4 linked regions of the Xenopus tropicalis genome follow. The protein of the gene in region 2 purifies or fractionates together with the protein of the main gene of each other region. This does not show direct contact. Links are inferred from orthologs where the notes say so. Each region holds a gene or a part of one and is shown on either strand. Other genes may lie near its edges.

Region 1 (8,438 bases), on a different chromosome or scaffold from region 2:
GTCAGGTTGGCAAAACAGTCAGGTTTAGGAACTTCAAGCAACAATTACATAGAAAACCAGCCCTAACAGTGAAAAAAGATCAACATGACCTAAAGGGAACTTTTTATGTACATTCATAATTTGAAAAGTCATTTTTTCGTGTCAGTATCACTTTAAGGGCCATATTTTTTCATTGGCGCAACACTCTACTTTCTGGAAGGGCCAACTACCAAGGGTGCCCAGTAACTGGGAAGGTGGAGACAGAGGGGTAAGATAAAGACAGTAAGACAAGGTGGAGACAGCAGAACAAGGTGAAGACAAAGGCAATATGGAGAGTAAGAAGGAGACAATAGAGTAAAATGAAGACAGTAGAGTGAGGTGGAGACAGTAGAGTAAGATGGAGACAGTAGAGTAAGATGGAGACAGTAGAGTAAGATGGAGACAGTAGAGTAAGATGGAGACAGTAGAGTGAGGTGGAGACAGTAGGGAAAGCTGGTGAGAGTAGGGAAATACTGTCTGTAGACAATAGGGTGGATGGTATTGCTTGCCTTTGAATATTTATGGTTTAATTTAATGATAGACTCATGGAATAAAAGGTGATTTCCAGCCTATGATTTCCCTGTAATTGCCCAGGGTTGGGAGGCACACTGACATATACACACGCAGTGACACACAGACACACACATAGATACACACAGACACACACATAGATACACACAGACACATATAGATCAGTTTTTTCTTGATTAAGAGGTTTCTGGAAACATAATACATTGTATTTTGTAGACAAGGAGACCGAACACACTGGCAATACCCCACCTGCCTTGGCCTGGAAAGTACAGGGCATTTCTACTACGGCAATTAATAATCATACGGAAATGATTGTCTAAAATGATAAGGACTCTGGAAATCCCTATCTTGCAGTTTGGGGCAGATGTTACAGGTTCTGAAGACAAATGTAGTTCATGGGTGCTCCCACCCCAGCGAGCAGGGCTTCCTGCAAAAATCATGGGGTCCCATATGTACCCCCTGCCATGTTCGTTATGTCCAAATGATCCCAAGCTCTAATCATTTCCATACAAGTTGCTGCAGTCTAGCTGACTGCCCAGATGCACCCAGGGGACTCCGACCACCCCACATAGCACCTTAACACCCATGAGTGGTGTTGGGCACCATGAAGCAGGCACAACTGTGTCTAGACTCCCTGCCATTAAGCAAGACTGTGCTGCAGTATTTTTGCATCAGGGAGGAAGAAGAGTACTAGTAAATACACCCCCCCCCCCATGTAACCAGAAAGGATAAGAAGATAAGAAAAATAAACTTATAAATGTCAATTACCCTTTACCTCTATTACTTATAAAACACTTTACTTTTCCTTTAGTCTAATGGAAACAAAAAAAACAACAACAAGTGTGTGGTAATTTCATTCCCCTCAAATTCCCTCAGTGTCTGGGGGTCTCATAGACTGACCTTTCTGGAACATTTCTCATACAGGCGATTAAGCACCACAAATGGATTTCTCGTAAAGTCTGGATTTCTTCATCCCTGGCAACAGAAAAAAATGACTGCTGTACAATGTTACATGTCTGATGTTCCAATACTGTGCATGATGAGCACAGAGGGGCAGGAAAGTTTAATATCAGGGAAAGTGATTCCAGAATGAAGTCAATAATATTGTTTTACTCTAAGCTATATTGTTATAATCAAGCAGAAAATATGATCAAGTATATGATCTAGGAATAATGTACCCCCCTAGTGTAAATGATAAGGATATTAGAAGTCACTGAGGGGTTCTGTGACCATATAAAGGTACAACACTGCAGGCTGAGTTATACAGGGAACTCTGAGTATCACTCATGTATTATAAGGGATAATGTACCCCCTACTGTAAATGATAAGGATATTAGAAGTCACTGAGGGGTTCTGTGCCCATATAAAGGCACAAGGCTGCAGGCTGAGTTATACAGGGAACTCTGAGTATCACTCATGTATTATAAGGGATAATGTACCCCCTACTGTAAATGATAAGGATATTAGCAGTCACTGAGGGGTTCTGTGACCATATAAAGGCACAAGGCTGCAGACTCAGGGTTTTTATGTGTTTTTATTAAAAACTTCACAAAAGAGAATTAACAGAACTCAGACCAACATGCCGGCCAATAATTACAAGTTACAACCAAAATTCACCCCCCCCCCCAGTCCACTGGCCAAATGTCCCGATGAAGATCGTGACATATGGAGGGGGCAATTGTCCTTATAGTACAGACATTAAACTTGATAAGATAAACCATATACAATGATGCTACACAATATTTTGCACGTTGGTTTTTGTAGTACAGGTATGGGATCCCTTATCCGGAAACCCGTTATCCAGAAAGCTCCGAATTACGGAAAGACCGTCGCCTATAGACTCCATTTCAATCAAATAATTCAGAATTTTAAAACTGATTTCCTTTTTCTCTGTAGTAATAAAACAGTACTTTGTAACTGATCCCAGCTAAGATATAAATAATCATTATTGGATGAAAAACAATCCCATAGGGTTTAATTAATGTTTTATTGATTCTTTAGTAGACTTAAGGCATGGAGATCCAAATTACAGAAAGACCCCTTATCCGGAATACCCTTGGTCCCGAGCATTCTGGATAACGGGTCCTATACCTGTACTATAACACCCGGAGAACAGTTCAATAACTGATACTAAGCACTTCGCCCAGTTTATCACGCCAGTCACTCAGGATCCCATCCTCTTGCACCATCTAGTGGCCATTTAGCGCGTCGCACACTTCCTGCTCTCGCTGTCAAGTTGGATTCTGCGTAAGTTGGACTGTACCATTGCGTAAAATGCAGATGACCGTATTACAATCGTTATGTGTTGTGATATTGCAAGCGCCACGAATTTAAGGCTTGATTGTGCGATCGTTCTCTGACCCGGTACTTCTTTTTCACTGGTTAGCTTTATTAAGTAAGAGCAGGTTGCGTTACGCTCCTCCCCCCGCCCGGTAGTTGGTTCTATCCCAAGATGGCGGCCACCATGAAGAAAGCGGTAATGCTGCATGTTGCGGCGGGCGTGGGGGAATTTGGGGGTGTTACAGGGAATATCGGTAACTGGGTGCGATACAAAGGTGGTGCTGGATGGGGGGAAATCGCCATGGGAGAATAGGGGGCATTAGGCAAATGATTGGGGTGTAATAGGATACATTCTGTAAAGAAATAATTAAGGGATGTGCTGCAGACTGTGCTGCTTTCTGTGTTGCCATGCCAAATGAGCTATTCACAGGGGGATTATTAGGGGTGAGGGGCCAGCCTTACACTGGGCATGTGTCAAACGGCCAACTCTCTTAGTCTGCAGTACAGATATAGCTCTGCCTGATTAGGCCACCCCTATAGGCTTCTTTAATGGTTTGATCCTTGGGCCAGTAATTATTATAAGGGCCTGTGTACTTCTGTTAGGCCATCATGTCTGTCAGGATTCTATTAAACCTTCCCAACAGCAGATCCTCAGTCACATATAGTTTGGGCCTTCATAGTCTGTCCAGTAAGTCACTGATACAACCCTGAGCGCTTGAGCTGTAATTGTAGTGTGTAGGTAGAATTGTACAGGTATAGGACCCATTATCCAGAATGCTCAGGACCAAGGGTATTCCGGATAAGGGGTCGTACATTGGATCTCCATACCTTAAGTCTACTAAAAATCAATTAAACATTAATTAAACCTAATGGGATTGTTTTGCCCCCAATAAGGATGAATTATATCTTAGTTGGGATCAAGTACAGGTACTGTTTTATTATTACAGAGAAAAGGGAATCATTTAACCATGAAATAAACCCAATAGGGCTGTTCTGCCCCCAATAAGGGGTAATTATATCTTAGTTGGGATCAAGTACAGGTACTGTTTTATTATTACAGAGAAAAGGGAATCATTTAACCATTAAATAAACCCAATAGGACTGTTCTGCCCCCAATAAGGGGTAATTATATCTTAGTTGGGATCAAGTACAGGTACTGTTTTATTATTACAGAGAAAAGGGAATCATTTAACCATTAAATAAACCCAATAGGGCTGTTCTGCCCCCAATAAGGGGTAATTATATCTTAGTTGGGATTAATTACAAGGTACTGTTTTATTATTACAGAGAAAAAGGAAATCAGTTTTAAAATTCTGAATTATTTGATGAAAATGGAGTCTATGGGAGACGGGCTTTCCGTAATCCGGGGCTTTCTGGATAATGGGTTTCCGGATAAGGGATCATCTCATACCTTTATTTCTATTTATTATTTTTATTTCCAGTTTAACTGCAGATATTTACTAGAGTTGCTGGTCAGTGCTTGGAGTTGTAGGACTAATCAGCTCTGTGAATAATAGGAGTAATGGTTTCAGGCCTAAGAGAATAGAAATGTGAGTATCATTTGCCAGGGGGAATGATTTAATTGCCTTGTTTTATTCATGTGGACCCTCTGTGTCCTGCCCCCTGGGGTTCTCTGCTGTGGGCATAAACAGGGCATGGGGGCTTTCATGCTGGCAGGTGTATTCATTATTAATAACAGGTATGATCATAGCTTATGTGACCCACCCACCACTAATACAGATTATATAGAAATGCTGGCTGAAATAGGAGTTAGAGAGCTTCCAGTCTAAAAGGGGAAGGGGGTGTGAGACAAATGATGTGGGAATGGCTCACATTGTTGGGGCTGGGATTATACAGCGAGTTACGGTTACAAGTATCCACAGTTATATAAAAATTGACAGGCCTACCTCCTTTGCTGCCCTGCTGATTGTGTTTTAATTCGTTTCTGCCACTGGTCAGAAAGACCCTGGTTATTAGATCTCAAGCACTGACCTGAGCTGGAAACCAATACCCAACTGGAAGGAACCCAAACTGGCAGCACTCAAAATCAGCATCATAAGTGGAATATTAATGAGACCAGGAACACGGCAATGCCATGCTTATTGCCAGCTCCCCTTACTGTCTCACTATACCTGCCCATTGGGTGTGTCTGTTCCTGTGCTTGGAAATTAAATTAACTCTACAGGGGTGCTGGCTGCGATGTGAATGATTGTATATTCCCCAAAGTTACCCCACTTTAGTAATCCTGTGGCTATGACTCAAAGGCCAGCAGTGCATTATGATTTGGTTCACATTATTATATATATTTAATTCTATAGAAGCTTGCCCTGTATTGAGAGACAGATCAGCATTTGTGAGGCCACAAAGACCTAGGCCCAGGGCGGCACAAAATAAAACAAAACAGTGGGTGGGTGCGCACACGTGCTTATGGGGGACAAGGCCTATCAAGTTGCCGGGGGGTGGTGTGGCCTCGGGTTGCCCAGTTTAGAATCTGGCCCTGGTGAGGCAGCAGTTCATATAGTTGCTCTAGTGACTGAGGTTTTGCCAGCATTGAGATCCTATCCTTAATTTCCATTGTGGGGAAAAAATAAAGGAAAAAAGTCAATTGATTGAGACAGTGACAAGCAGCAAAATAACCTGTAGCAATTTGCCTTTTTAATGATGTCCTGAGAGGTCAGCTGGTTACAGTAACATCAGTAATTTGCTCCCGCTAAATGAATATGATTAATATAATTTTCGTTAATGAGGAAAACTCCTTAATGAGGCAGAATCCTTTGCTCTCGTCACTTAAGTCATCGCTAATGCTAATTTTATAAATAAATGGAATAGTCTCTATGGCAGTTATCAATACACAGACTGTCAGTAGATCCTCACACTGATACATACAGAGAAAAAAAGGCCTTTGTGCGTAGGCACCAGAACCATAGGTTTCCTACAGTCCTGAGTAGCGCCTCCCCTGTCTGGAGGGTAATGACTTGTCCTGTTTGCGTTCCAGGTTGCGGAAGATGTAAACGTTACATTCGAGGACCAACAAAAAATCAACATCTTCGCAAGAAATACAAACCGGGTCACAGAGCTGAAAGATGAAATCGAAGTAAAAAAGGTAATACAACAGCGAGATCTTTGCTTTTATTAAAGGGGAAGTGTTACTTGGCTTAAGCAACACCATGTCTGGTTAATTCAGATGTTTCTCTAGTTCCAATATACCTATGCAACATGCAGTACCACTTTCCTCCTGTTGGTGGCAGCAGCAGAGAAGCACAGGGAAGCAAATTAAATATAGAATATATACAACCAGCAATAACACCGAAATGAAAACACTGAGAAACGTTCAACTCCCAGCAATATTTTTATATATCCTTTTCATTCCAGCTTCAAATGCGTACGCGGATAAAAGCGCAGTCCCACTTATCCATCTGCTCCGCACTTAAATTACAGCAGTCCCCTTTGTAAAGGCGTTGAAGGACCAATTAGCCTGAAATGGGTTCCTTCCATAAATGAGGAATCGTGGCAGTAATGATTGTTAATGCGGTTCTATCACAGGGAGGCGCCGGGTGATGCAGATGTGTGCATAAAATGACAATTACTGCGCTTTTCTTCTCATTGTTATTTTCGAGATTTTGTTTTCCCATTTGAAGCACCTTTCCATTGCCAGAGGTCAGCAGAAAACGCACAAATGGCTGCTTTTATAGCCTCTTTGATGCAAAGTTTCCATATAAGCTCAGAGAAAAGGGGAAAGTTTCCACTGGTGTCGTATTCTTCATCAGCCAATCAGCAGTTAACTATAATTAGTCCTTGTCTGTTAGAATGAAGGAAGGGATACTGTCATCATGTTCGATTGTTTCAAGAATTGAAATGTGACACACCCTCACCGGAACCAGTAGTTGTATTCTCTACATGGCACCCATCAGCACTGTTCTTTTGGTTTGTGGCAAGACCTGGGGGTAGCCAATACCTTCCTTACATTTATATAGGTTAGACACAGTATATTCCATGGACTGCTATGCTATTTCTCCTGGTACCTGCTTGCAAGGAAATTATAACATAACAGGAGGGCTATGGCCCAACTTTCAGGGAACTTTAGAAGGAAGTAACATAATTTGTTGGGGTATTTACACATACATAGTTACATAGGGTTGTAAAAAGACCAGAGTCCATCAAGTTCAACCCATCCAAGTAAACCCAACACCCACAACCTATACTTACCAATCTATACACTCACATACATAAACTATGTATACAACCACTAATACTAACTGTAGATATTAGTATCACAATAGCCTTGGATATTCTGATTGTTCAAGAAGTCATCCAGGCCCCTCTTATAGGCACTAACAGAATCTGCCATTACAGCATCACTAGGAAGGGCATTCCCCAACCTCACTGCCCTCCCCGTGAGGAACCCCCTACGCTGCTTCAAATGGAAGCTCTGTTCCTCTAATCTAAAGGGGTGGCCTCTGGTGCGTTGATTTGTTTTTATGGGAAAAAAGAACCCCCCCTATCTGCCTGTAATCCCCTCTAATGTACTTGTACAGAGTAATCATGTCCCCTCGCAAGCGCCTCTTTTCCAGAGAAAACAACCCCAACCTCCATACATACAAGGAATTCTTAATCCTCTGTATAATACAGCCCTGGTACTCTTGTAATTTGAAGTAAAATAGGAGCAGCAGTCGTCAGGTGTGCAGAACCTTAGCAGTGAAGGGGTTAAGGCAAAATAAAATTCACGGAACCAAATGGGAGGGAAGACAACTGGTCTATGTTCCAGCTAATAAGTAAACAACATCTGTGCCTCACTTTATTTAAAGCCTGGTTATTTTTTTTTATAATTTGTGATTGTAATTAAAAATATATATATGTGTTAGATGAGGTTTTAGCCAATGGCTGCTCCTGTACAATTTTGGGGTTGGAAGCAGTGCATGCCCCTCTTATGTACTACAGGTATGGGACCTGTTATCCAGAACGCTTGGGACTTGGGGTTTTCCGAATAAGGGATCTTTCCATAATTTAGATCTCCATAACTTAAGTTTGCTAAAAACCATTTAAATATTGAATTAACCCAATAACCCAGTAGGATTGTTTTGCCTCTAATAAAGGGTAATTATATCTTAGTTGGGATCAAGTACAAGGTAATGTTTTATTATTACAGAGAAAAGGGAATCATTTAACCATTAAATAAACCCAAAAGGGCTGTTCTGCCCCCAATAAGGGGTAATTATATCTTAGTTGGGATCAAGTACAGGTACTGTTTTATTATTACAGAGAAAAGGGAATCATTTAACCATTAAATAAACCCAATAGGGCTGTTCTGCCCCAATAAGGGGTAATTATATCTTAGTTGGGATCAAGTACAGGTACTGTTTTATTATTACAGAGAAAAGGGAATCATTTAACCATTAAATAAACCCAATAGGGCTGTTCTGCCCCAATAAGGGGTAATTATATCTTAGTTGGGATCAAGTACAGGTACTGTTTTATTATTACAGAGAAAAGGGAATCATTTAACCATTAAATAAACCCAATAGGGTTGTTCTGCCCCCAATAAGGGGTAATTATATCTTAGTTGGGATCAAGTACAAGGTTCTGTTTTATTATTACAGAGAAAAAGTAAA
Region 2 (6,522 bases):
TATTTATTGTTAAGTGTACTATTTCCGTGCCTGCAGTTTTATCATACTGCTCCCCTTTGTGTTGAGGGTTTATGTCTGATTGAATAAATCATACATGAAGCCCTAGATACCCATATGGTTGTGTGCCCAGAGGGTTGCTTATCATCTCAGTTTGATTCACATACCGATACTTTGTATATATGTGATAATTCTAATTGCACAGAGTATACTCTATACCCAGTACTCCGGAGCATGCCATAGAGACAGGTTATACATTGTTTACTTTTATAGACATATAAAACACTTGTAGATCCCACATAGGTTTTATTTTTCCATATTGCCACATAGTGAACCAATTTGTTTTGGTCCATGCAAAAATAATTTATCTGCTCCTGCAGCATAAATTTTCCTCCTTCATGGATTGGTCCTTTTTCCTTTAATGACACAGCTACAGCATATGGTAATGTCATGAAATTAATATTCTGGTGTTACCGAGACTCTGTTACTGAGTTTGTACAATAACAGTTATATTATTTGTCTCATCAGAATTGGTTATTCCAGAGAAAGCAAATGTTTTCTATGCCATGAGCTCTGCAAGCTTGGATTTTCTTCTCCGTCCCCGTAAGACTGTAAGTTCAGCATCTTCTACAGACACCCAGGCACCCGCTAAAATGCTCATCAGTGCCACAATCCCTAAGGTCAAAGCAAAGGCAGGAGACCTTGCAAGAGCACTTTTCTAAAGCTCACCATGAGATTCATCTGCTCCCAAAGTAAAGAGGAATTAAAAATATACAGGAAAAAATCTTATATTGAAATCTAAACACAACAGGATCCTGTGTTACTGACTTTACCAATGACATGTCACAAGCAGACATCACACTTTTATCGCCCAACAAGATGCTCCAGTACACTATGGCATACAATGCTAAATGATCTCATGTGCCAAGTCATACTAATGGGAACCTCTAGTGCCTGTCAAAAGGGAATGATGCAATAAACCCGTGTTACACATGTGCCGGAAGTGACATCAGACTGTATATTGTCATTGTGCTGCTGCGTTCCATATACACTATTGGTAGAACACTATTATATTTGTATGATGATGGAAGAGTGCATTTTATTGTACATACACCTGTATAAAACATCTGTGATGTTGATATATTTATGTTTATTGTAACTGTACTTAGAAATTCTGCATATAAACTACCTTTTTCATACGGCGTGTTTGTTATTTTAATAAAAATGTTCAGCCCTGATTCTATATATTAGAATGAAGCATTCAGCACAGTAAATGCACTGATTAATGTTAGCACATATAAGCCATAAATAAGCTGTCAAGAAATGCTGGATTACAGGAATAGCTGGGGAAGCCCTCATGGCTACGAACACATCCAAAGTTGGGCTAAAGAAGTCAACTAAAGAAGTGGCACTACAATATTTCTTGATGCAGCATTTCAGCAACATTGATTTTAAAGGAAACATATTGGATAAATGGAAAACCTCTAATTTTGTAGGCAATTATGAATAATATATGGTGCCGGTTTCACTTTGTGCTAAAAATTAGTCCTATCTGTAAAAATGGCCCTTTTATTGGAGCTCCCTATAGATCCTATCAGTCCTCCGTCCATTTTTGAAATGAAGGGTGGGAGTGTTCTAACAGTCCCTGCCAGAAGCACAGTAGGAAGGGGATAGCCAATCACAGCCTTGCACTCACACAAGCAAAGACAGGCTTCAGTTCCCTATCAGGTCAGCCTAGCTGCTGATTGGTTCCTGTCCTACAGTGCAGTGTACTGAGAGCCCTGCACATCCAGAGAATTCTATATCTAGAAGTATAATTGACTGCTACATTCATCATTTTTATAGGATATGTCTCCTTTAAATTCCACAGACCAAATTTGACTTTCATGACATTTTCATATAGTATTGAAGGGGTTAATGTTCCAAATGTAACTGTGTGTATCTTACAGGTATCACATGTACAATCACATGGCCACTGGAAAACAAGCTCCTAAAGACTAGATTTTTAACGTTTTTGTATTTCTTTAAGCTACATACTCTGGAGCTGCTGAGAGACCCATTATCGGCGTCCACCCCCCTTGCAGCGTGGGTGCTGCTGAGCTCACAAAGGGATTTTGTCATGATTTCATGGTATACTTTTTACACTGTTAACTCTACCTAATCTTAGTGCATTGTGAGTCTGAGCTTTCAGAAGGAGCCAGCGCTACACACTTCTGATCCAGTGCCACGAACCAAGCACATGGGTCCATTAATAGATCTGGAGACACAAATGTATTTTAGTCATGTAATTTCTCTAATATGTAGTAATTGGGCTGAAAATATTAGTCTTCCTTAAAGAGGTTCAACACTTTTTGGCATAATAAAAGAAGATGTAACTCTAAGCAACTTTTTTTATACAGTTATTCAATGGTGTTCAATAACAAAAGCCAAAAGATTAACAGACCTGCAGAAAAACACTACTTTTAAAAGCAATGTAATTTACAAATAACCATTGAACCACTCAATTGTTTAGTGCATAATGGAATGTTGCTTAGAATTATTAATCTCTTATACAAACAAACAAAACCTATTTTGGGTGGAGGCCCCTTGGTATCTAATTTCACTTCTTACATTTCTATTGGTACTTATTGTTCATAGGTCAGGAGTTGTTCCATTTGTTCAGAAACTATATGTATGGTTTGTGTATTTCTTACGTGCAATGTTCTGCTATTCTCCCAGGAAAGATAAGATTAAGTCCTCTCGGAGTCAAAGCATTTTTATTACCCAACACAATTCAAGACATAGTATTTCCACAATGAAGCTCTTACTGTCCAAGAAGTGGCATCAGTGTGCACAAGAGGCAGGAGGTGCCAAAAGTATTCCAGGAAAATAAATGGTGGGCAAAGTTTTGGTTACACAGTCCTGGAGCATTAATGACCAATGAAAACCAGGTCTAGGGTTATAGATTATTCTGAATGCCCCTCAGGCCTTCACTGGCCCCTTTCCTTGTGTCCTCTGGTAATCTTGTTGAAGCTTAGTAAGGGATGCCCTATGTTGCTCTGAACGCTGCTCCATATCCTTAAGTGTGGTCTCATATCTTTTGCTGAGAAACAAACATTCAAACATTATACAAACCAGTTATTAATCTCAATACAGACTAAAGAAAAACACTACTCACATTTCTCCATTAATGTACTGAAGTCTTTTATCCACAGTAGACTTTGCCTCTTCCAGGTCCTGTTTTACCAGCACTGGACCAATCAGCTTATATACAGTGTTACTGTCATCCAGAAAAGCCAGCTCCTACAGAGATATATAGAAACACACATACACATTTCATTCTTAAGAATCACACTATATTGTTATTTTTTATATTTACCCGACATTCTATATATTGCCAAATATGATTACTGTTAATGTCTGAAATCTTCTTTTCTGTTCCTGTTTATTTTGAAAATACATTTAAAAAAAAAAAAAGTTTCCAGGACCATTTTAGAAATGATTATGTATTTGCCTAATGGAAATATTAGGAAGAAAATGTCTTTGCCCTCTCTTTCTGCAGCTTATATAAAATGGGTTATTGTCTTAAGATTGCAGTTTTACCTTTGAATACAAACCCTATTATTTCCCACAGTGCCACTATTCCAGCAGACAAAGGACGCAATTTGTCATAATTGAGATAACAAAATCATAAGGTTGGATTAAAAAAAACTATTTTTATATATTTATAAAATTTTTGACCATGTGCAAAGCATACAGTCCTCTTTAACCCCCTCCGTGGCCTAATTTGCATATGTAAATTAGGATTCAGTTTGGTATTTGCCCAAATCTTTTCAATGGATTTGGGGTTTGGCCGGATACCAAAATAGTGGATTTGCTTCATCCCTAGTATAAAGTAGAGGAACTTAGATCTGAGATGTTAGAGCTGAGGTCTTTTTTACTTAACCTTCACCTAGAGCTGGGCGGTATGACCAAAAATTTATATTACAGTATTTTTCAAAATTATATCGGTGTCACGGTATTTGACGGTATTTTTTTTTTCCATGCATGATTAGGTGTTAACCCCATTTCCTAATAAATTAGAAAATAATTACTGCAGTATTGAAAATCAGTCAAGCGAAGGATCGGCAACAGAAAGTCGTAAGGTAAATCAGGCAGGCTTAGTTTCCCAGGCAAGGCCGCAGACAACATAGCACAGGAGGAGGCGTTTGATAGCTTTAAATACCCCCCACGCATGCACAGAACCGGCGCCGTCAGCGCATCACGGACGTGCACGCTTTGACATGTACGTGCGCTTTGACGCACGCGCACCTGGATGCGCGTGCGCAACGTCCCGCGGACAACAGGACGCACGCGAGACCGGGCCGCACGGGTGAGTACCCTGACACCCCGGTATTGCGGTATCTGAAAAATGAATATAGTTTTAAAAAAAACCACCGGTATTCGGTATTAAGCGGTATATCGCCCAGCCCTACCTTCACCAACTCTTTAATACAGTGCAATTGTAAACATGTGTAGTGTGATACAACAACAATTCAGTTTGAGAATTTGTCTGACATGGCTTTTGGGGAGGCGTAAGATATCAAATAGCAAAAACTGATTCCACCAACAATAACTTTGCTTGATGTGGCTGTATTCTCTCTAAACTATAAATATGCTGTATGTGATGGGTGCAGTCAAATAATATAAATAAGCAGTTAGCATTAATAATAAAATAATTATACTAAATATATACACAAATTATTTTTGTTTCTATTTTTCATGTGTAGAATTCAGACCAGGTAAACATTAGGATTAACACATTTTTACACATTTAATACATTTGTCCCTGCTCATTTGCTCCCCTTGTAGGAAAATTATCAGTTGAAGCTTATTACCTGTATCACACCTACCCTTGTAAGTTACCTGATTGACTTAAGTACATTACAGATGTCTGCACAAATTGGATTATGGTCCCTCAAGAAGTGTTTCTTTGCTAAATTAGGAAAGACTGGTATTGTCTCAGTGGGATGACAAAAAGTCACGCAATTTTAAGAATTTGCATTCAGTTCACCCAGGCATGTGCCAGTTCACGTCGGTTTAGCCTGATCTGAATCTTGGCCAAACCCTAAACCAAATGCTGTATTTGGTGCATCCCTACTTTATAATTAAAAGAACGCATGCAGAGTCCTTTTGTAAGGGTCATGTAACTCTGAGGTATGTGGCGAGTTTATATTGCTCTTGTACAAGTGCTTGCATATACATATTGGCATTCATTTGCTAACTATGTTCCCCCCTACCTCAAACTCACCTGTTTGACAATGTTGTTCTCAGTCAACTGAGCCTCAAGCTTCTGCCTGGCTGACATAGTATTGCTGATCTCTAAAGAAAGAGAAGCATGACAGAATAATACCAGCCAATAAAACACAAAAAGCTATAAAAAAAAATTCAAGGACAAGTAACATCAAAAAGTGAAAGTTTATAATTTTTTTTAACATTTAAAGTTTATATCTGTTCATCCAGCATACATAAAAAAAAAATTGCCCCTGTAGGAAGACAGCAGATTTTTTATATAAACTGTATTATCATTTCTGAACACTACCAGTGCAGGGTACATTATATTTCAATTATATTTAAAACAGTGATTTTTGCTGTTACTGGTCCTATTATATATGTGTACCTTTTGGAACTTTCCAAATGTTCCTCCTTAGCTAACAGCAAGCTTATAGATATATGAATATATTGCTGTATCTTTCATTCAATCATGGGCCCAAAAACATCTTGCAAGTTTTATTTCAAGTAACACTGACTTTCCTGACTGAGCTTCCAGCAGTATCAATGATATCAAATTGACATTCTCCCCAAATCTCACCTTAAACGAGACATATCATATAAAAATTAAGAATGTACCAGTGAATTATACTCCTCTAGAAATAGAAGGATTGTGCTTAAAAAAAGATGTGTTTCAGACTGATTTATTGAGAAAATTCCCCCAAACCCCACTAACCCCGCCCATCTGTTCCACTTCCTGCTGGCTGAATTCTCTGGAGCCAGTGGCACTCCTGCCAGCTAGGCTGACCTGATATTGAACTGAAGCCTGACTTTGCTTGCATGACTGCAGGGCTGTGATTGGCTATCCCCCTCCTACTGTGCTTCTGGTAGGGACTTTTAGGACACGCCCACCCGTCAACATTGACAGAGAGGATAGGAAGCTCCAATAAAGGGGCCATTTTTGCAGACAGTATTCAAATTTAGCCCAAAGGGAAACCAGCACCATATAGTATTCATAATTGCCTACAAAATTAGTGTTTTTTCCATTTATCCAATATGTCTCCTTTAACTGACCTCCAAGCCATCCATCCCCCAGACTCTGGGCCTGTGCAGGGGAGCCAGCTCAACACCTGCTTAAGACAGAAACCGCATATCTCAAAGATATTCTTTCCCCTCCAAAAAATTCTTATACTTCAGCAAAAGAGCAACCAAATTACTTCTGTTCCACATGCACATCAGTAACATCACTATTAGAACTATCATTGTGATGCATTTATCAATTAAGAAACGAATGAT
Region 3 (8,477 bases), on a different chromosome or scaffold from region 2:
TTAGGGCTCTGTACCTGACCCTCTGCTCTTGTTTCCTGTACACTCTCTTTAGGATCTTATTTCTTAATTTGGCTTTAAATATCACATCTATGCAGATGGCATCCAAATATATCTGTACACCCCATCATTAAACTCTGACACAGCTCTCTACCTACCTCATATCTATCTCCGCCTGGATAAGCCATAGCCACCTTAAACTGAACCTAGCTAAAATGGAGCTCATGGTCTCCCCACCCAAATCTGGCCCTTCCCCTTCTTTTACAGTTGATAGCATGGCCATTAATCCTGTTAATTCGGCATATTGCCTTGGGGTTATCTTGGAGCAGTTCCTTTCCTTCTCTAACCATATGAATAACACTTGCAGACTTGCTGCTTTTTTCTATGTAATATTGCCAAGATATGCCCCTTTCTTTCACAATTAACAGCTAAAATACTATGTCATTCCCTTATCATATCCCATCTAGACTACTGCAATCTCCTACTAACTAGTCTCCCAGACACCCACCTCTCTTCCCTGCCATCAAGCTTAAACTCTGCAGGTAGAATTCTCCTGAGAGAGCCTGTTCGTCCACTGGCAAAACCCCTGCTAGGACTGCCTGTTAAGCAATGAATAGCATACAAAATCCGTCTGCTAAATCCTCTGCTCCTCACTACATTTCTTCACTTGTCTCCCTGAATGTTCCTGGACCCTTATTTCTGAGATTTGATTTCTGCAACATGTCTGCGGATACCAAACGACCCATGTACCACAGATTATAGAAAAAAGAAAAAAAAAGAAAAACTCAACACATATTTCATGAGAATGTTTATGTTTGAAATACAAAATAAAATTGAGAAAACACAAGAAAAGTAATAAGTTAACCCCTTTTGTTGTGGAAGCTGCAGAGAACTGCAGCACAGTCTGTTAAGTAGTCCGGGGCCTTACTGCGTTAACAAACTGAGCCACGTATACAAGTATTTCAGAGAGTTCTTGCTGGAAAGGGAGTCCTCCTGGCCTTGCCTTAAGCCTTGGATGTTCCAGCTTTAGCCACTGATAGCTGTTGGATTTTTATACTCATCATTTCTATGACAGCTGTAAAGATAAAATTAAAATATTTTATCATTTATGATTGCTGTTTAAATGCTTTCAACCAAACACAGAATATATTAACAAGGTTCAATTCACAGAAAATGGCTATATTTGTATTTAAAGGAGAAGGAAAGACATTTTATTCCCAATAGATTAGTCACAATACTGCAAGCTAGAACACTACATTTAATCTGTAGAAAGCCTTACCATACCTAAGTAAACAGCCCTAAAAGCTCCCTCTGTTTAAGATAGCAGCTGCCAATTTAGCTCGGTCACAGTAGCCACTGTGCTGCGGGCTCTAGCTGCTGGCAGCTCAGATTAAACAGCACAGTTGGGGGGGGGCACTGCTTTAGATGCAAGTAAGATGGTGCTATAAATTGAAATTTAATTCATTTGGTAAAAGTCTCATTAGCAAATTCATCCTCACAGAAAGCAGCAGCCAAATATTAAGGGGGTTAGGGGAGCCAGTAGCTGCAAGGAGAGGGCTTAGTAAACACTTGCGCTCATCAGGCTGTAACACCACCAGATGTTTTAAGGTGGCATGTGTGATGGAGAGGGTCCACATTTTTTTTTTGATTACTAGTTTTATATAGATATTTGTATTTATGAATTTCGTTTCTCACCTTGCTTCATGGCATGCTTTTCTTGCAAGGCTGGCTGAATCTTCTCAATCTGCTTAGTTAGGAATTCAACCTTCCGCTTGAAAAAGTCCTTGGCATCCTCTACAGTCTAACAGAGACACATATATAGATGGAATACAAAGACTGAACTCAAGGTAAATTATTTTACAGTTCTTATAGTAAAGCAATTTGTCAGCTTCTGCATCCTCACATTCTCTCTGGAAAGGTCTAAACAACAAAATGCCGAAAATCATTACAGATCAGTGTTAATCCTTCCTATGCATCATGGCAGGAAATTTTCGCTTACTATAGGGGAATATAATCTGTTACAATTGGCTCTAAGACTTCTACTTAGAATATATTAATCAGCATTCCAATTTACATTCATCAACAATTTCATTATTTATAGGGTTATTAGTAAATATTATTTGCTGAAATGATCCCTTTCTGTTCTTTGTGTCTAGTTCTTAAAATGATGTAACATGAACCATATCTACCCCAGGTCTTTCAATCAGCTGGTTTGCAATATTGTGTCAGGAGTCAGAGCCAGGAGTGCAGAAAAAGTAAACAGCCAGGCAAATGCTGCTTTCAACTGCAATTATGACTACAAACACTTAAAACCAATAAATTCTTCAAGAATGTATATTGTAAAGTTGCTTAGAATAATAATTTCCTTTACTGTGTAAAAAAATATTTTTGGATGAAGTGCCCTTTTAAGGGCTAAACTACACAGGAGATTTTGATGAGAATTTTTGGGTCAGATTTTGTGTGACCCACAAAATCTTGTCACGCAACAAGCACAATGTTTTGTATGATCCTGTTTCCGTGTCTATATCAGACATGTATTTTAATGAGAAAAAATCTCTTTCAGACACTATGAGATTTTGTCTGGTTGTATGAAGACACAGCAGGCAAAGTCGACTACCAAAAGGCACATTGCATCTGATGGCAAAGCTTTCATATAGTTTACACATCAGATTTTTCTATCAGTCCCATTATTTTTTAACCATGCAACTACATTCGACAGGATGCGATCTGTCAAACCAACACCATTCTACAAAATCTCATGTGAAGTTCAGCCCTAAGTTATACCAGTGGGTATATGTGCCCTGTAAAGGCAAATAATCACAATATGCCTTCAAAATTAACTAAGCTTTAATCATACCATATATCTTTCCGAATTCATGAATCTCCTTATATTAAAAACTTACACTACAAGTGCCCAGTGATACATTTATCAGAAACAGATACCTACAGATCCTGTCAGCTTAAAGTGCACTGCATTCATTATATTTTGACTGAGTAAAGATGGCCATACACGCACTGATGATACTGTACAAAACCTCGTTTTGTATGATATTTGGTGCGTGTATGGCAGATCGACAAGATGACCGTTATTGCAAAGGCTGCGGATATCGGTTGTCTCATCGCTCAGCCGGGTTAAAAGATTTTGACTGGGCGCCATTGAAGGCGCCCGAACAAAACCTGCGTTCAGGGCTGAACCGGCAGGTGGAGGTAGAATTCCTATTGTTTCTACCTTCACATCCGATGACTCTGAATGTCAGTGGGGGAAACGAACGATCTTTCCTGCAACTCATGGTCGCAGGAAAGATCGGAATTGCTACATGTATGGCCACCTTTAAAAATAAAATAACATCTTATCTTGGTACTCTGAAACCAAAATATGTATATATTATATAATATATATATATATATATATATAGTGGTTACAAAGCACACTGCTGTTAAATTGCTTAGCTTAACATCCTCTGCTGTAGGCCTAACAAATTCCTTGCAGAGAACTGCAGCTGCCTAAGTCTCCCACTTTGCAAGCAGACAGTTTAACAAAAAAATACTTTTTCTGGGGTAAAAGCACATAGGCCCAGGTTCACTAATATATATAATATATAATAAATATAAGTGCTTCAAGTTATTTTTTCAGTTATAATAAGTGCCATCACTTCTAGAGGTAAATTTCTCTGAGTGATATCAGCACCAAATTACCTCTAGAAGTGATATGGCTACATTGTTGTGAATGTATTGTGGTATGATATTAAAGGGCAACTAAGTAAGCAAGTGTGGATTATTATTTACCTATACAGGGCTTATGCATATGTACAGCAGCTTTACACAAGTAGTCAAATTTCCCTATTGCTGCTTTTCGCTTTCCTACTGGTCTAGCCAATGGTCTCTTGGGCAAAACTTGCACAAGTTCTGCCAATCTTAACTGCGAGAATAACCTGTGCATGTTCCAGAACACGCTAAATTTTAAAAAATAAAAATAAACCAGTTGCTTTTAATTCAACCAATAAAAATTAAATCTGTTTGTCACACCAGATGGTTTGAAGAGTAGCAATAATGTGTTATGTATAGTTAGAAATATACTAACAAACTTTTGCGCAAGAAAATGTTAACAGTAGGTTGCTCATCACAGTCACACCTTAAGCTAAAAAACAAACAAAAAAGTAGCTCACCTTTTCCACATAATATCCAGTACCCACATCGATCAGTATATTTGACACATCATTAAGAGTCCCAGGCACATACATCTACATGAAAGGTTAAGGGGGAAAAAACCCACACACCTACTGTTCTTCTTTAAACACTGTTGTGCAAATACTGGTTTTCTATTTTTTTTTGCTCATTAAAAGGGGAGTTCACCTTTAAGATAACTTTTGGTACATTGTACAATGGCCTATAATATTAGCAACTTTTCAATTGGTCTATATTTTGTATAGCCTGACTGACTGTATACAGTACATTTTTGTCCAAGTACCCAGGAAAAACACACCGTGCTGCTATTCTTGACATGTTTTTCCTACACTATAACAACCATCATCACACTCTTTTAAGCAGTCACCTAAGCAGTTTAGCCATTTAGTGTTTAAACTTTGGATAAAAATGCATTACTGTTTAGTAGATTTTTGACACTTAGCTTGCTACAGACTTACAACGTTCCTTACATTAATAATATAATAAACAAATAGAAGAGAACATACTTTAAAACTGGAAGCAGCTCACTGGTTTTGCCACCATATGGCTTTTTCATAATATAGTGATGAAAAGGATACAGAGCTGGTCAGGGGAACAAGCAGTTGCTTCCCTGTCAGATAAACACATACAGGTTATTAGAGAGAGGAACTAAGCCGACTGACACACCCTACTAACTGGCTGCCGCTGTCACTCACCTTCATTGCTTTTGTTCAGCACACTCAGGCACTCCTTTGCCTCCACATACTTGGTCTGAACCACCTTTAGCTGAGCGATGGAGGAGGACAGGAACTCCACTTCCTATGAAAGGAAAAGGCACATAAGGAAGGCCTTACTAACCCTGTAACCCCGGAGTATGAGCAACACCAGGCTGGGGCGGGACAGCAAAAGCTGCAGTGGGACTCTGGGAGTAAGGGATCCACAGCCACGGGGTGGCCAGAACTCATCCAAGCCAGTTGTGGGACACTACGTTTAGTCGTGGGGAAAAACCAACACAGAGGCATCCCCAATTTAAGACGGCAATGTAAGATTAACTAAGATACCTGGTCCAACTGACTTTTCAATCCCTCCAACTGCGGCAGAGACAAGTCGGTAATGTTCACTGTCTGCGCCATCTTGAGAGAGGAAGAACCCCGCCTTCCTACTACATTACTATAGTGACTGTCTAGCTGGGAAACCGTATATTGTTTGGCGCTCTGTACGCACGGCTAGCGCTCTATGATAGTCCGGAGGCTGCGACGCATGCGTACTAACATGTAAGGGACCGTGTACTTGGCAGATGGTCCGCTTGCTAACATGATATTTATAAATAAGTCAAATCGCAGAAATATATATATATTTTTTTTAGATTTTCTTTTTCTTATTTTGCAAAGAGAGGAATAAGTGCAAAAGTACACAAAATGCTATTGTTACATTAAACTACCTCATTTCTACCAGTAACATGGTATTTCAACAATCAATAGAGAAGAAAGAATAGAGGAACATATAGAGTAGGAAACAAACAGTAGGAAACGGAAGAAGAGAGACCCCCCCATAACAATATAATATTTTAAGAATCTATGCAGTAGGTTAAGCACTGTTTTTTAAGAAATTTTGAAATTCACTAAAAATTTACATTTTGCAGTCATGTATCACACATTCTTGTGTACAAAGAAAGATTAGCCATAATATGAATGCTCATACATGAAAATAGTACACATTAAAGTTCTACAGGCAAAAGCAAGTCATCAGGACAATGCAAAATGTAGTCACAAAAAAAATACTTTAACTTGACTTGCTGTTGTAGTGTCATCAGTCCCAGACAGTGTTGCATTTCTTAAAAAATACATAAAAATAAATACAAAGTAATGCCTTTTTGGTCTTTAGGCAAGTGAGGAGGAGGGAGCAGAATTTGTTTGGTTAGTTGGTGGATTTAGTTATTCCAAAAGAGAGTTTTCCACCCAACATTTAGTAAACCCGAATGGGGCTAATTGTTTGTGTTGTTTTCCCATTGACAAATGTGTCTAGGTATTTGTTCCAAACGCTATAGAACAGTGATCCTCTTGATTATTAATCTTGAAGAGCTAAGACCCACTGAAGTTGCACAGTATGTAGAAGCTTATGTTCTCGTAATTGCTTTGATGGGGGTTGTGTTGCTGTCCAACATTACGGGATTGATTTGACTGCTTTTAATACAAGTATTTCTGCCAGTCTAAGGTTACCTTTCTTAGCTTTATTGATGGGCTTCGGTATGACCCTAGAAGTATCTGTGGGTTACTGGAATGTTGCATAGCATATTAATTTGTGTTAAATCCTCTTCTTAAAAGGCATCTATTGCAGTGAAAGTTCATAGGACATGTTCTAAACTGCCTTCCACATGGGGGCAGCATTGCATTTCTTTTTGCATCTCCTTTTCAGAGTTGACATGCTTCAAAATACTGATTGTAGAATATGTAGAATATGTTGGCACTTAATAAATAAATGTTATTAATAATACTGCTCTCTTCACCAGTACTTCTGCCAGAGATATTCTTTGGTCTCCCCACAGGCACCATGATAGCATTTCACCTGCTAGACTCACACCCCTCTCAATGGGAAATAAAGTACTTTGCTGCAGCTACATCTACAAACAGAATTCCCCCTCAGCCACATGGCTCCATATCATCCCTTATGGTGGTCATACATCTGCGATATATCTGCAGCTTATTGGCCTGTGTATGGGACCCTCCAAACGACATCTGGACGAAAATCAGCCAGCTCTCGATTGGGCAGGTTTAATAATCCCATCAGGGCAGGGAACACCAACTCGTTAATGCAGTCCTTGCCCCAACGCCCTGTTTGTACTGCATTGTGATTAGATGATTTGGCCCAAGGATCAGCTCTATATCGCCTACCTTAAGTTGGGGGATATCAGTAAAAGTTCTTTACATGTACGGCCAATAGATTTGCATTTTACAGTTCTTAAGTATCAAAGTGCCCATTAATATGTATAGTTTTATGAAGACTCCCAGCAGTTTTTTGAAGCACCACTCCAGAAATCTACATGCAGACCAACTGCAAAGGTACTCGGAATAGTACATTCTATAACATACTAAAAGTTAACTTAAAGGTGAAGCATCCCTTTCAAGGGTAAAAGGTGTTTATTGAGAATTTTGCACAATCAATTGTTTAATGGCTCAGAGATTAAGGTACTAGACAAAATATTTGGATGAGGTGTCATAGGCACGACTCCTTCACTGTGCAGAAATGGCTTACCATAAAACTAACAGGGCAAATATGGCAACTGGTGATGTTGCCTTTATGAGCCACTGACCTGCTGTTAAAGAGAAGGAAAGGTAAAATCACAGAGGGGTGCCAAAATTTTAGGCACCCCATAGTAATTGTAATACCCTGGGTTGGTGAAAACTGCAACAGTCTGGGGTAGCTGCGAATAAACAGTGGAAAAGCTTTTTTTGGCTTTTCATACTGCGCATGTGTAAGTGGCGGGAAGACAGACAAAGGAAGAGGACCGCCCTCTTGCCGGTTCCCCGGGTTGGGGCGTGAGAAATTGGAGACAGAAAAAGCCAGATGCAAAAACAAAAAAAAAAAAAACCCACCAACATAAAAACACTCCAAACTTTATTACACATTTATATTACTCAATAGTTTCCCTTATGCAATAAATATATGTTAAATATTCACTCTTAAAAGAGAGTACAACTCTGTAGGAATAAAATCATTTAACCTGAGAACAGCTGTATATACACCCTTTATTAGAAATGACTCTGTGCCAAAAGATATGGGCAACCCTACTTATAAACATTGACATATTTATACATATTTGAATAGCAAATTGGCTAAAACCACTGCTGCTAGTCGGTAAATCAAAGAGGGCAAGATCTGGCAAGAACTAGTATGTTTATAAGTAAGCCAAGGAATAAATATCATAACTCTGCCCTCAGCTGGCAGAAAAGCCAAACTATGGACACTCATCTTATTAAAAAAACTACATGGCTTTCATTCTGTAAAAGGTATAAATATAATATGTAAAAATATAGTCCCACATGACAATGATGCTATCGCAGGGCCACTGGTAAGCCATAAGCTACAGGAGCTGCACCAATGATGTATTTCAGCTTGGGAGCTTGGCGGGATTCTGACAGGTATTTCAAGAGAGGAGCTCCAGATCCTGCCTTGAGCCAACTTTGTAAAAATGCTACGGTATAGCGGTCAATCTCACGGTCAGTGACGTCCCATAGGTTGCCAAGAACTAAAGGGCTGAAGAAATCAAGTAATTAAAACCACAGACTGACAGAACATATAGGCTGTGAAATAAAACA
Region 4 (8,240 bases), on a different chromosome or scaffold from region 2:
AGTTCTAAGGTGTAGCACTGGCTTTTTCTGAAAGCACAGACTCAGGCACCAATAATACAACTAAAAAATATATTTGTTGGTTCGAAAATAATATTTTAAATGGTAAAGTGAATTATTTGCTATATAAAGAGCGTAATTTAGAAATAAAAAACATGACAGTATCCTTTTGCGTTACCTCTTCACTAACTAATTATATTACTAAGACGCATAAGCTGTAATGGGATCTACCTTATTCATGGGGCACAGAAACCCTTTTAATGTAAGGTTTGTGTTGTGCACATGAAGCTCCTAGTTCACCAAAATCAAGACTGTGCCACCACTAGTAGTAATTAACTAATAAAGAACTACTAACAAAAAAAACCCTTCAAGCTCTTAAAAAATGCACTGGGAATATACAATCTGACTGTTCTGTTGATGCTTAGTTTTCAGCATTTCTTTTATTTACCTTACAACACTGAATAATTATTTCCTGAAACGCTTATAAACAGACTATTTACTAGACTGAGAGCAGTGCCAGTAAAAGGCAGCCCTATGCAAAGACAGGCAAGATCAAGGGCTGGTAAGCGTGCTTTAACACAGGTAACAACTATCAGGTTGTGAAACGCACAGAAATAGAGATTGCACAATAGAGAGGCAAAAACATCAGAAGTACCGATTTTTACCCGCTGGATGCTCAGCGTAAGATACAAGAAGCTATTTCCATTGACCTGCGTATTATAAATACAAAGGTACAACCTGCATACTTACTTTTTAAAACGTTCTTGACTGGCCTACTCTGGTAGATGCTCAATACGCGCGCAGAGTCAGAAGAGTCAGCGCGCATGTACACTCGTCCGGCCACTAGGGGGCGGGGGTATGTGGTTGAGCATGGACAGCAGACACGTCCGAGCATGGTAAGCAGTGGCAGCGCCAATGCGCGCACATGTACACGCGTCGGGCAGGGGGCGTTGGGCGGGGTAGGGGTGATCGTGCACGCTCGTCCAGCCACGGGAGGTGGTTTGGCGAGTGCGGCACTAGGGCAGCGTTACATAAGCATCTACCGTATGCTCTTTTTTAGGGCTGAAAATCTCGGCTTATACTCGAGTATATACGGTAAATCGCCGGTGGGATGGCATACTGTACTTCAACAGTTTCTGCAAATCACGTCGCCGCGTATGCCATCCCACCAGCGATTTACCTTTTCGCCGGTGGGATGTCATATCGCCCTGTGTACCATAGCCCTTAAGGGGGACAGTAGGTAAAGACTCCTTATCAGGAAACACAATGTCCCAAGCATTGCCACATGCCATTCTCTCCTTCTGCCCTATCAACAGTTCCCTTTGCCTTTTTCCATCTCCTATGTTCTCACCCTTGCCACCATTTCTCCTCTCCCATACACCCAGACAGCCCCTAAGGGGCAGTTCAGGGTAAAATCAAAATGGGCAAAATAGATAGACTGTGCAAGATAACAAAATGTTTTCAATATAATTAGTTAGGCAAAAATGTAATCTATAAGGGCTGGAGTGGGCAGATGTCTAATTTAATGACCATAGCACTACTTCCTCCCTTACAACTTTCTAAGCTGTTAGCAGTCAGTAACCAATCAATGACTTGAGGGGGGGGCATATGGGACGTAACAGTTCAGTTAGTTTGAATCTGACCTGTGTGATCACAAACATTTATGCCCCATGTGGCCCCCCTAAAGCTAAGAGCAGGAAGAAGAGTTCTGGCTATTATGTTAGACATCTGCTCACTACAGCCTTTATAGATTAAATTTTTGCCCAACTATTTTTTATTTTATGCAGTCTATCCATTTTACCCAATTTTACACTGAACTGTTCCGTTAACCCACAAGGCAGTCAAGTTTGAGCAAGTTGTTCCAAATGGCCTCTTCAACAAGCAGTGGAGCTCCATAGCAGCCAGTATAGACAGGAAAAACTCTTGTGCTGCTGAGGAAATGGGGGGTTGGTGTCAAGGAGTCATATCGAACAGCACCCCAGCACTCACCTAGATTTTGGGGGTAACTGGGTGTGCGTCATGCATCACATCAGAAGCTGGGAGAAAGCAACTTATATATTTAATTAGATATGTGGGTAAATAGGGGGGTCTCCTGAAAATGCACCTTGTATGACTTTTTAGTCCCACAACCCTTACTGCTCAGGTGTCTAGCTGGGATCTGTGTAGGCCGCTGACGGAACCACGAGACTTTGTTGTTACTTTCTCCTGCTCCTTCTCTTAAGTGAAGAAGTCTATATATGCATGTCAACTTAATGTGGCCATACATCATAATATTCACTCATTTGGTGAGGTTGCCAAATAAGAAGATCTTTCTCTGATATGCTTACCTAAGGTGGGCAATATTGGCCTGATCCAATTGTTTGGCCCTAGGCCCCTAGAGCTAAATGAGTGCATCAAAATGACGGGGACAGGCCGTTGCGACAAGAAACATTAACAAGCCAACGCATTCCTCAATTCGATGGGAAACTCAAACCTAGCCCGATCAAAAACTTCCCGATTTTCTGCCACATATCGGTCAGGTTGGCCCATATGAGGGCACCATATACAAGCAGATAAGCTGCCAAATCGGTCTGAAGGGACTGACTGAGGAGCTTAAATCAATGACAGGCGAATTTAGAACTTTGCCCCCCCCCCCCCCCAGCTCGCACTGCTCCGTGCCCACCCCTCCTGTAACGAGCGCACACTGACTGGAAGAGTAAGCGACGGCTATACTGCACCCACTCCCCCCCCGAGCGAGTGCAAAATAGCGGCTGCTCTCTCTGACTTCTGGCAGTTCTCCCAGTCAACTGGGGCCCGAAGTAAGGGGAAACAGACAAACAAAAGAGTTCTGTGCCCTAGGCTGGTGCTTGACTTAAATCTGCCTATGTATGGCCTATTCCAATGAAGTTGCTGTTCAGAACCCTCTGTAGAGGGCTATTGCACAAGTGCATTCAAGCGCATTCAACTAAATTTTAATATATATGGACTTCCCAGCTGCAGATAAGCATGTTCCCTGAGATCAATGGATTACCTAAACTATAAAGTTCCACTTATACTAGTGACTATAACGCCCTCCTAAATGTAGACTTTCTGTTCTAAAGGCATACGGAACATTTAAAGCATCTGAAATACTAATGCATTTTTTTTGGCCTTTAATGCTTTCCACCTTTAGAAATGTGTTAATATTGAATCATTCGCCTATGAATAAGTACTTTCTATTCTCCACAGCAATGGTTATGTAAGAAAACCAAAAAGTTCTTGGTTTTTAACAATAGCCAGTCTATAAATACAGTCATTGGCACAGTCAAATGGGGATTACATAGGAACACAGTTAACGATTTTCAGTATGTGCGTGGCAGCCTATATCCATGTACTTTGATTGGTTTGTCATTTGGGTGGGTATAAATATGTAACCTGCTAAGAACCCATTACAGCCTGTGTATGGAAGATGAGGAACTGTTCCCTTCATTCCCTATGAATACAAGGAACAACAGAAAGGCATCCATAGAGTATATGGTCCCTTGTATTTTTTCTGTCTTTTGGCCCTCGAAGGGATCGGTAGGTCTGTGCAGTGTCTGACTGGCCCACCAGGATACAAGGAAAACTCCCGGTGGCCCAAGTGTCAGTGGGCCCTCCTGCTCACCCAACCATTTGCCTTGTATGCGTATACCATGGCCATTACTCAATCCTATATGAAAAGAAACTGAAGAAATGGAGGAAAGGATAGATAATATTATGTAAAACTGCGTAATTAAGAGATTAAAGAAATTGAGTGAACAGAGAAGGGGAGAGTGGGCCGAAGGTCTACTTTTCTTTACAATTTACACTTAAAAAGACAAGTTAATGCATGACTGTATGATTAAAGCAAAACAGCATTACTTACATTCTTCCTACTCCTTCATACATAGGCGTTGAATCAGACAGGTTCATAATTTCTGCATTGGTAAGATATGCATGCTTCTTTGTTCTATTTAGCTGCTCAATTTGTAGATCTGCAAGTTTAACTTTCTGCTGGGTATCAATAACTTTGGCTTGAAGCTCTGTGAAAGCCTGCAATACAAAACATGGTTTTAAACAATTTGTATCTAAGTGCTGTCCTCGCTAATGCTTTCTAGCCACTGCCAATCTCTACATCTGAGTTTCACCCAAGATTGTGTAAGCAGGTAATATTTTTAATATTTTAGAAACTATCCAGTTTTTAAACTACTCTGCTTGTAAAAGTGCATCCTTTGCAAATGTCAGTCAAGCAGTCTCACATTACTCATAAACAGGCTGATATGTTGTCAACTTGGTCTGAATGGGCCCCTGTATGGCCCACTTGAGGGCCTATTTTTCTAAAAACCCAGCGAGAAGCTCAGTTAGAGAGAAATTTGGTGTGAAAATGGGTATTCCGGGAGCCCTTCCTGAATAGCTGATACAACATTTCCATACACCTTGTTATGAACTAACTGGGCTCCAAGGTGGGCTTGAACTGAAAAAGTCTGTCAAGCAAACCACAGATGTAGGACACAGGGGCATGTTTAGTAAGATTGGAGATAAATATCACTGGCTATGTTGCCCATAGCAACCAATCAGGAATTAGATTTGAACAGTCACCTACAAGTTAGAAATGAAAATCAAATATCTGATTGGTTGCTATGGGCAACATCACCAGTGATATTTATCTCCAATCTTACTAAACACTTAAGCCCCCAAATTTTAGGTGTAAGCAAAGATTTAACAGCAATGTTTTTGCGTTCTAAAGACTGTTTTAATTGCAAATAAACAATGCACTGGGAGATAGTGCCTTCCAAAAGGATGAATCTTACATTAATAGTAAATATACTTTATTAAATTTCCCTTCTTTATGTATTTGGAAAAAAACAAGTGTTCGTTTATAGAACTATGGGTTTATAGAGTGTGAGTATGTATGTATGTATGTATGTGTGTGTATGTATATGTATATGTATATGTATATATATGTATATATATATATATATATATATATATATATATATATATATATATATATATATATATATATATACACACACACAAATCAAATGATATCAAAATTCTTTACTACAAATACAGTTCCCTACTAGAAATACAAAAACGACTACATTCGCATTCCACCGAGCGTATGCACTAGCTGCCTGGCCGCACTCCAGCCAAAAGCACATTCATCCTGCAGGCACCGTGAATTCACCAGCATCTGAATTCTTATATAAACATACACTTACATGAAAACACGTACATGATAAAAATCATTAGTATAAATGAAATACAATTATTATTACCTTCTTCAGCTCTAGATCCACAGGGGTAGCCATATTAAAGCCGGGCACATGCGCAACGCGGCGGCGAGGAAACCATACGCTATACCGCCGTCATCGCAAGCAGCCTTGTGATTGGCTCTTGGTGCTTTACTGGCAATTCCAATTGGCAGCTGCTAAGGTGAAGCTGGGCGCATTGGTGGGCGTTCTTGGGAAACGCCCAGCGTATAGTTGCTGGAGGATTGGTTGAGTTGTGGCTTAGCAGCGAGAGCTCTTACTGTTTAAAGATATTTGAGCCATGGTTGCTAGTAGTTTGTTTTGCCACAGAAGTTATGTTTTGTGTAGAGTGAACCAAGGGTGTAACGTGTGATGTAACATATAAACAAATATGTGTGCGTGATTTACACACAACGTGTTAAACCGGCAGTGACACAGTGGCTGGGGAGTTATATGTAGAAATATATGGGGAAGGGTTGTAATTCGATTCGCACCCAATAGGATTGTTATGAGTTTCTAGACTGTTTATCCCATATGTTTCTGGAATCTTGAATTAGACTGTATTTTGTAAGCAGTTACAAACGCCATAAATTGAAATCATGGCTGAAAATGGGGCAACGTTAAAGAAATATTTCTTATTTTGGGAGATAGTTCTAAAAGCCCAGCCTGAAGGTGATCTTGCTCAGACAAGATCCCCTGTGCATGATTTAGCTCATGGGTGCATGGGCCATATTTATGTAGGGCAGCGCTAGGGGTGCCTATATTAAAAAGAAAAAAAGTGTAGCTGTATACGAGGGGGGCGAGGTCAGAAGTCTGGTGCTTACGGCTGCACTGGACAGCCCTAGCAGCTGGTAAAACACTAAAGATGACCACTGAATGGACTAACACAGGAATCACTTGTCAGTGCACTTGGGGGTTGACACCTGTCTAGTTTTGAACTAAACAGCCACTTTTTCCCTAGGGCCATAAACATAATTGGCACCCATGTAGGCCTCATCAACATGCCAGTGGGATTTTTAGGGCACTGCCACACAGCAGATTCTCGGCCTGCAAGTTAACTGCAGAATCTGCCCCATACAGCAGTGCCCTTAAACCAATTTCTTCTTGGCAGGGTACACAAATAATTTCTTTTGTGCACACTTTTTAACAAAGAAGTAGGGCTGAAATTTTGTGAATTATGTTATGGGTTTCTGTACCAGCCCAAGGCACAAACAGCCCTTTTGCAGGGAAGATCTGTGCCCCCAAAGATGCCCTCCAGTAGCCCCCCCCCCATCTTCTTTTCTGCTGATTCCCTGCACATGCTCTGTGTTGCAGTCACTTACTTGAGCTTAGGGACCCACTCACAATATACTGTATATACAGAATATAAATGTAACAGTGAAAGGCTGATTAGTAATTCATTTACATTACATGACAGATCTGAAACCAGGGCAATTGCATCAAAATTGAATAATTAGCCCTGTAGCATCAGTTTATATGAAAGACAACACTCATTTTCTGCTTGATATTTTGCAACAATCCCTAAGCTTAGCTGCTCAGAGCCAACTGAGCATGTGCGCCGTCCCGGACAGTTCTAACAGAATCCAAGATGGGGAGCTCCTGTGACAACTGTAAAGACTTTTGTCATTACTACTATAGCAATGCTGAAACTTTAAGCCAGTGCAGTCATTTTATTATACAATATATGGCATTTCTAGCCATATTCATTTTTAGGGTTTAGTTCTCCTTTAAAAGACTTGTGTGCTCAGTACAATATTATGTGTTTTTACACAAAATTCCTTGTGTGTACCACAATTGTGTGCGCTGGCCTCAAAATTTGTGTGCATGTGCACAAGAGCATAGCTTGGAGGGAACATTGTCTTTAAAGGAACAGTAACACCAAAAAATGAAAGTGTATAAAAGTAACTAAAATATAATGTGCTGCTACCCTGCACTGGTAAAAGTTGTGTGTTTACTTCAGAAAGTCTACTATAATTTATATAAATAAGCTGCTATGTAGCCATGGAGGCAGCCATTTGAAGGAGAAAAGGCACAGGCACATAGCAGATAACAGATAAAACACTATTGTATTCTACAGAACTTGTCTGTTATCTGCTATGTAACCTGTGCCTTTTCTCCTTTTTTCCAGCTTGAATGGCTGCCCCCGGGGCTACACAGCAGCTTAATATATAAACTATAGTAGTGTTACTGTAGCAAACACACCAGTTTTACCAGTGCAGGGCAACAGTGCATTATATTTTTATTACTTTAAAGCTCTTTCATTTTTTGGTGTTACTGTTCCTTTAACCTACCCTATAACTATCTGGCTAATACTTGGCCATGTACCAGATAGGCCATTTGGGAGGGCCCATACACAGGAAGTAAGCTGCCAACTCCAAAAATGTTGTACTGTGCCCTATTGTTCACGAGGGGACCCATATAAATATCTAGGCCCCAAAGTTTTTGATGGCGGCCCTAGTTTCTATCAAGTACAAGGTACTGCTTTATTGTTACAGGGGAGGAGGAAATAATGAAAGTTAGCATTATTTCCTTAAAATAGACTATGGGAGATGCCTTTATGGATACTGGGTTCCTAGATAAGAGATCCCATAGCTGTGCCTCTTTATAGAATGCATACACCCATGTTATCATTGCATATTCTGCTTGTTGCAGTTAATCACAACAAGCAGGCAGGTGCCATTATGTGAACACTGTTACAAGCTTTGCATCATCACAAAATCCTGTTTGCCAGAATGGGGCACCTAATGCCCATGATACACAATTATCGACAGTGAGGAGGGAGGGGGAATGTAAGAAGTGTGGTGACATCAAGGAAGTGCAGAATGGAAAGTGAAAGTTATTGCCTGCCCCGCCTTTAAAGGAGAAGGAAAGTCAAAATCTATTAAGCACACTATTAAATAGTACTACTATTGCTGTGTAAAAACACTATATTCCTGGCTTGCCTAATGAAAGATTTACAGAGATACACATACTAGAACTTACATACTTGTTTCAGTGAACGGCGCAGCCATC

Evidence for each region.
Region 1: the proteins of pfdn6 (region 2) and pfdn4 purify together in Homo sapiens (affinity purification with mass spectrometry; 6 studies listed by BioGRID and IntAct, counting the BioPlex papers as one, with this or other methods). This does not show direct contact. The link is inferred for Xenopus tropicalis from reciprocal best matches to the Homo sapiens genes PFDN6 and PFDN4.
Region 3: the proteins of pfdn6 (region 2) and pfdn5 purify together in Homo sapiens (affinity purification with mass spectrometry; 5 studies listed by BioGRID and IntAct, with this or other methods). This does not show direct contact. The link is inferred for Xenopus tropicalis from reciprocal best matches to the Homo sapiens genes PFDN6 and PFDN5.
Region 4: the proteins of pfdn6 (region 2) and pfdn1 purify together in Homo sapiens (affinity purification with mass spectrometry; 6 studies listed by BioGRID and IntAct, with this or other methods). This does not show direct contact. The link is inferred for Xenopus tropicalis from reciprocal best matches to the Homo sapiens genes PFDN6 and PFDN1.

The regions. Positions count from the first base shown.
Region 1 is NC_030686.2:34,364,372-34,372,809, reverse strand, and holds the start of pfdn4 (prefoldin subunit 4), read left to right. Parts: upstream 1-3,009; 5' UTR 3,010-3,013; coding exon 3,014-3,025; intron 3,026-5,824; coding exon 5,825-5,932; intron 5,933-8,438. UniProt on the Homo sapiens protein: Binds specifically to cytosolic chaperonin (c-CPN) and transfers target proteins to it. Binds to nascent polypeptide chain and promotes folding in an environment in which there are many competing pathways for nonnative proteins.
Region 2 is NC_030684.2:72,107,400-72,113,921, reverse strand, and holds the end of pfdn6 (prefoldin subunit 6), read right to left. Parts: intron 5,338-6,522; coding exon 5,267-5,337; intron 3,280-5,266; coding exon 3,155-3,279; intron 3,080-3,154; coding exon 2,959-3,079; 3' UTR 2,737-2,958; downstream 1-2,736. Other genes in the region: rgl2 (ral guanine nucleotide dissociation stimulator-like 2), read left to right, coding at 526-719. UniProt on the Homo sapiens protein: Binds specifically to cytosolic chaperonin (c-CPN) and transfers target proteins to it. Binds to nascent polypeptide chain and promotes folding in an environment in which there are many competing pathways for nonnative proteins.
Region 3 is NC_030678.2:147,135,288-147,143,764, forward strand, and holds pfdn5 (prefoldin subunit 5), read right to left. Parts: upstream 5,316-8,477; 5' UTR 5,295-5,315; coding exon 5,223-5,294; intron 4,981-5,222; coding exon 4,878-4,980; intron 4,793-4,877; coding exon 4,761-4,792; intron 4,239-4,760; coding exon 4,164-4,238; intron 1,799-4,163; coding exon 1,693-1,798; intron 1,073-1,692; coding exon 1,002-1,072; 3' UTR 793-1,001; downstream 1-792. Other genes in the region: espl1 (separin), read right to left, coding at 8,214-8,415. UniProt on the Homo sapiens protein: Binds specifically to cytosolic chaperonin (c-CPN) and transfers target proteins to it. Binds to nascent polypeptide chain and promotes folding in an environment in which there are many competing pathways for nonnative proteins.
Region 4 is NC_030679.2:31,786,644-31,794,883, reverse strand, and holds the start of pfdn1 (prefoldin subunit 1), read right to left. Parts: upstream 5,386-8,240; 5' UTR 5,289-5,385; coding exon 5,256-5,288; intron 4,027-5,255; coding exon 3,860-4,026; intron 1-3,859. UniProt on the Homo sapiens protein: Binds specifically to cytosolic chaperonin (c-CPN) and transfers target proteins to it. Binds to nascent polypeptide chain and promotes folding in an environment in which there are many competing pathways for nonnative proteins.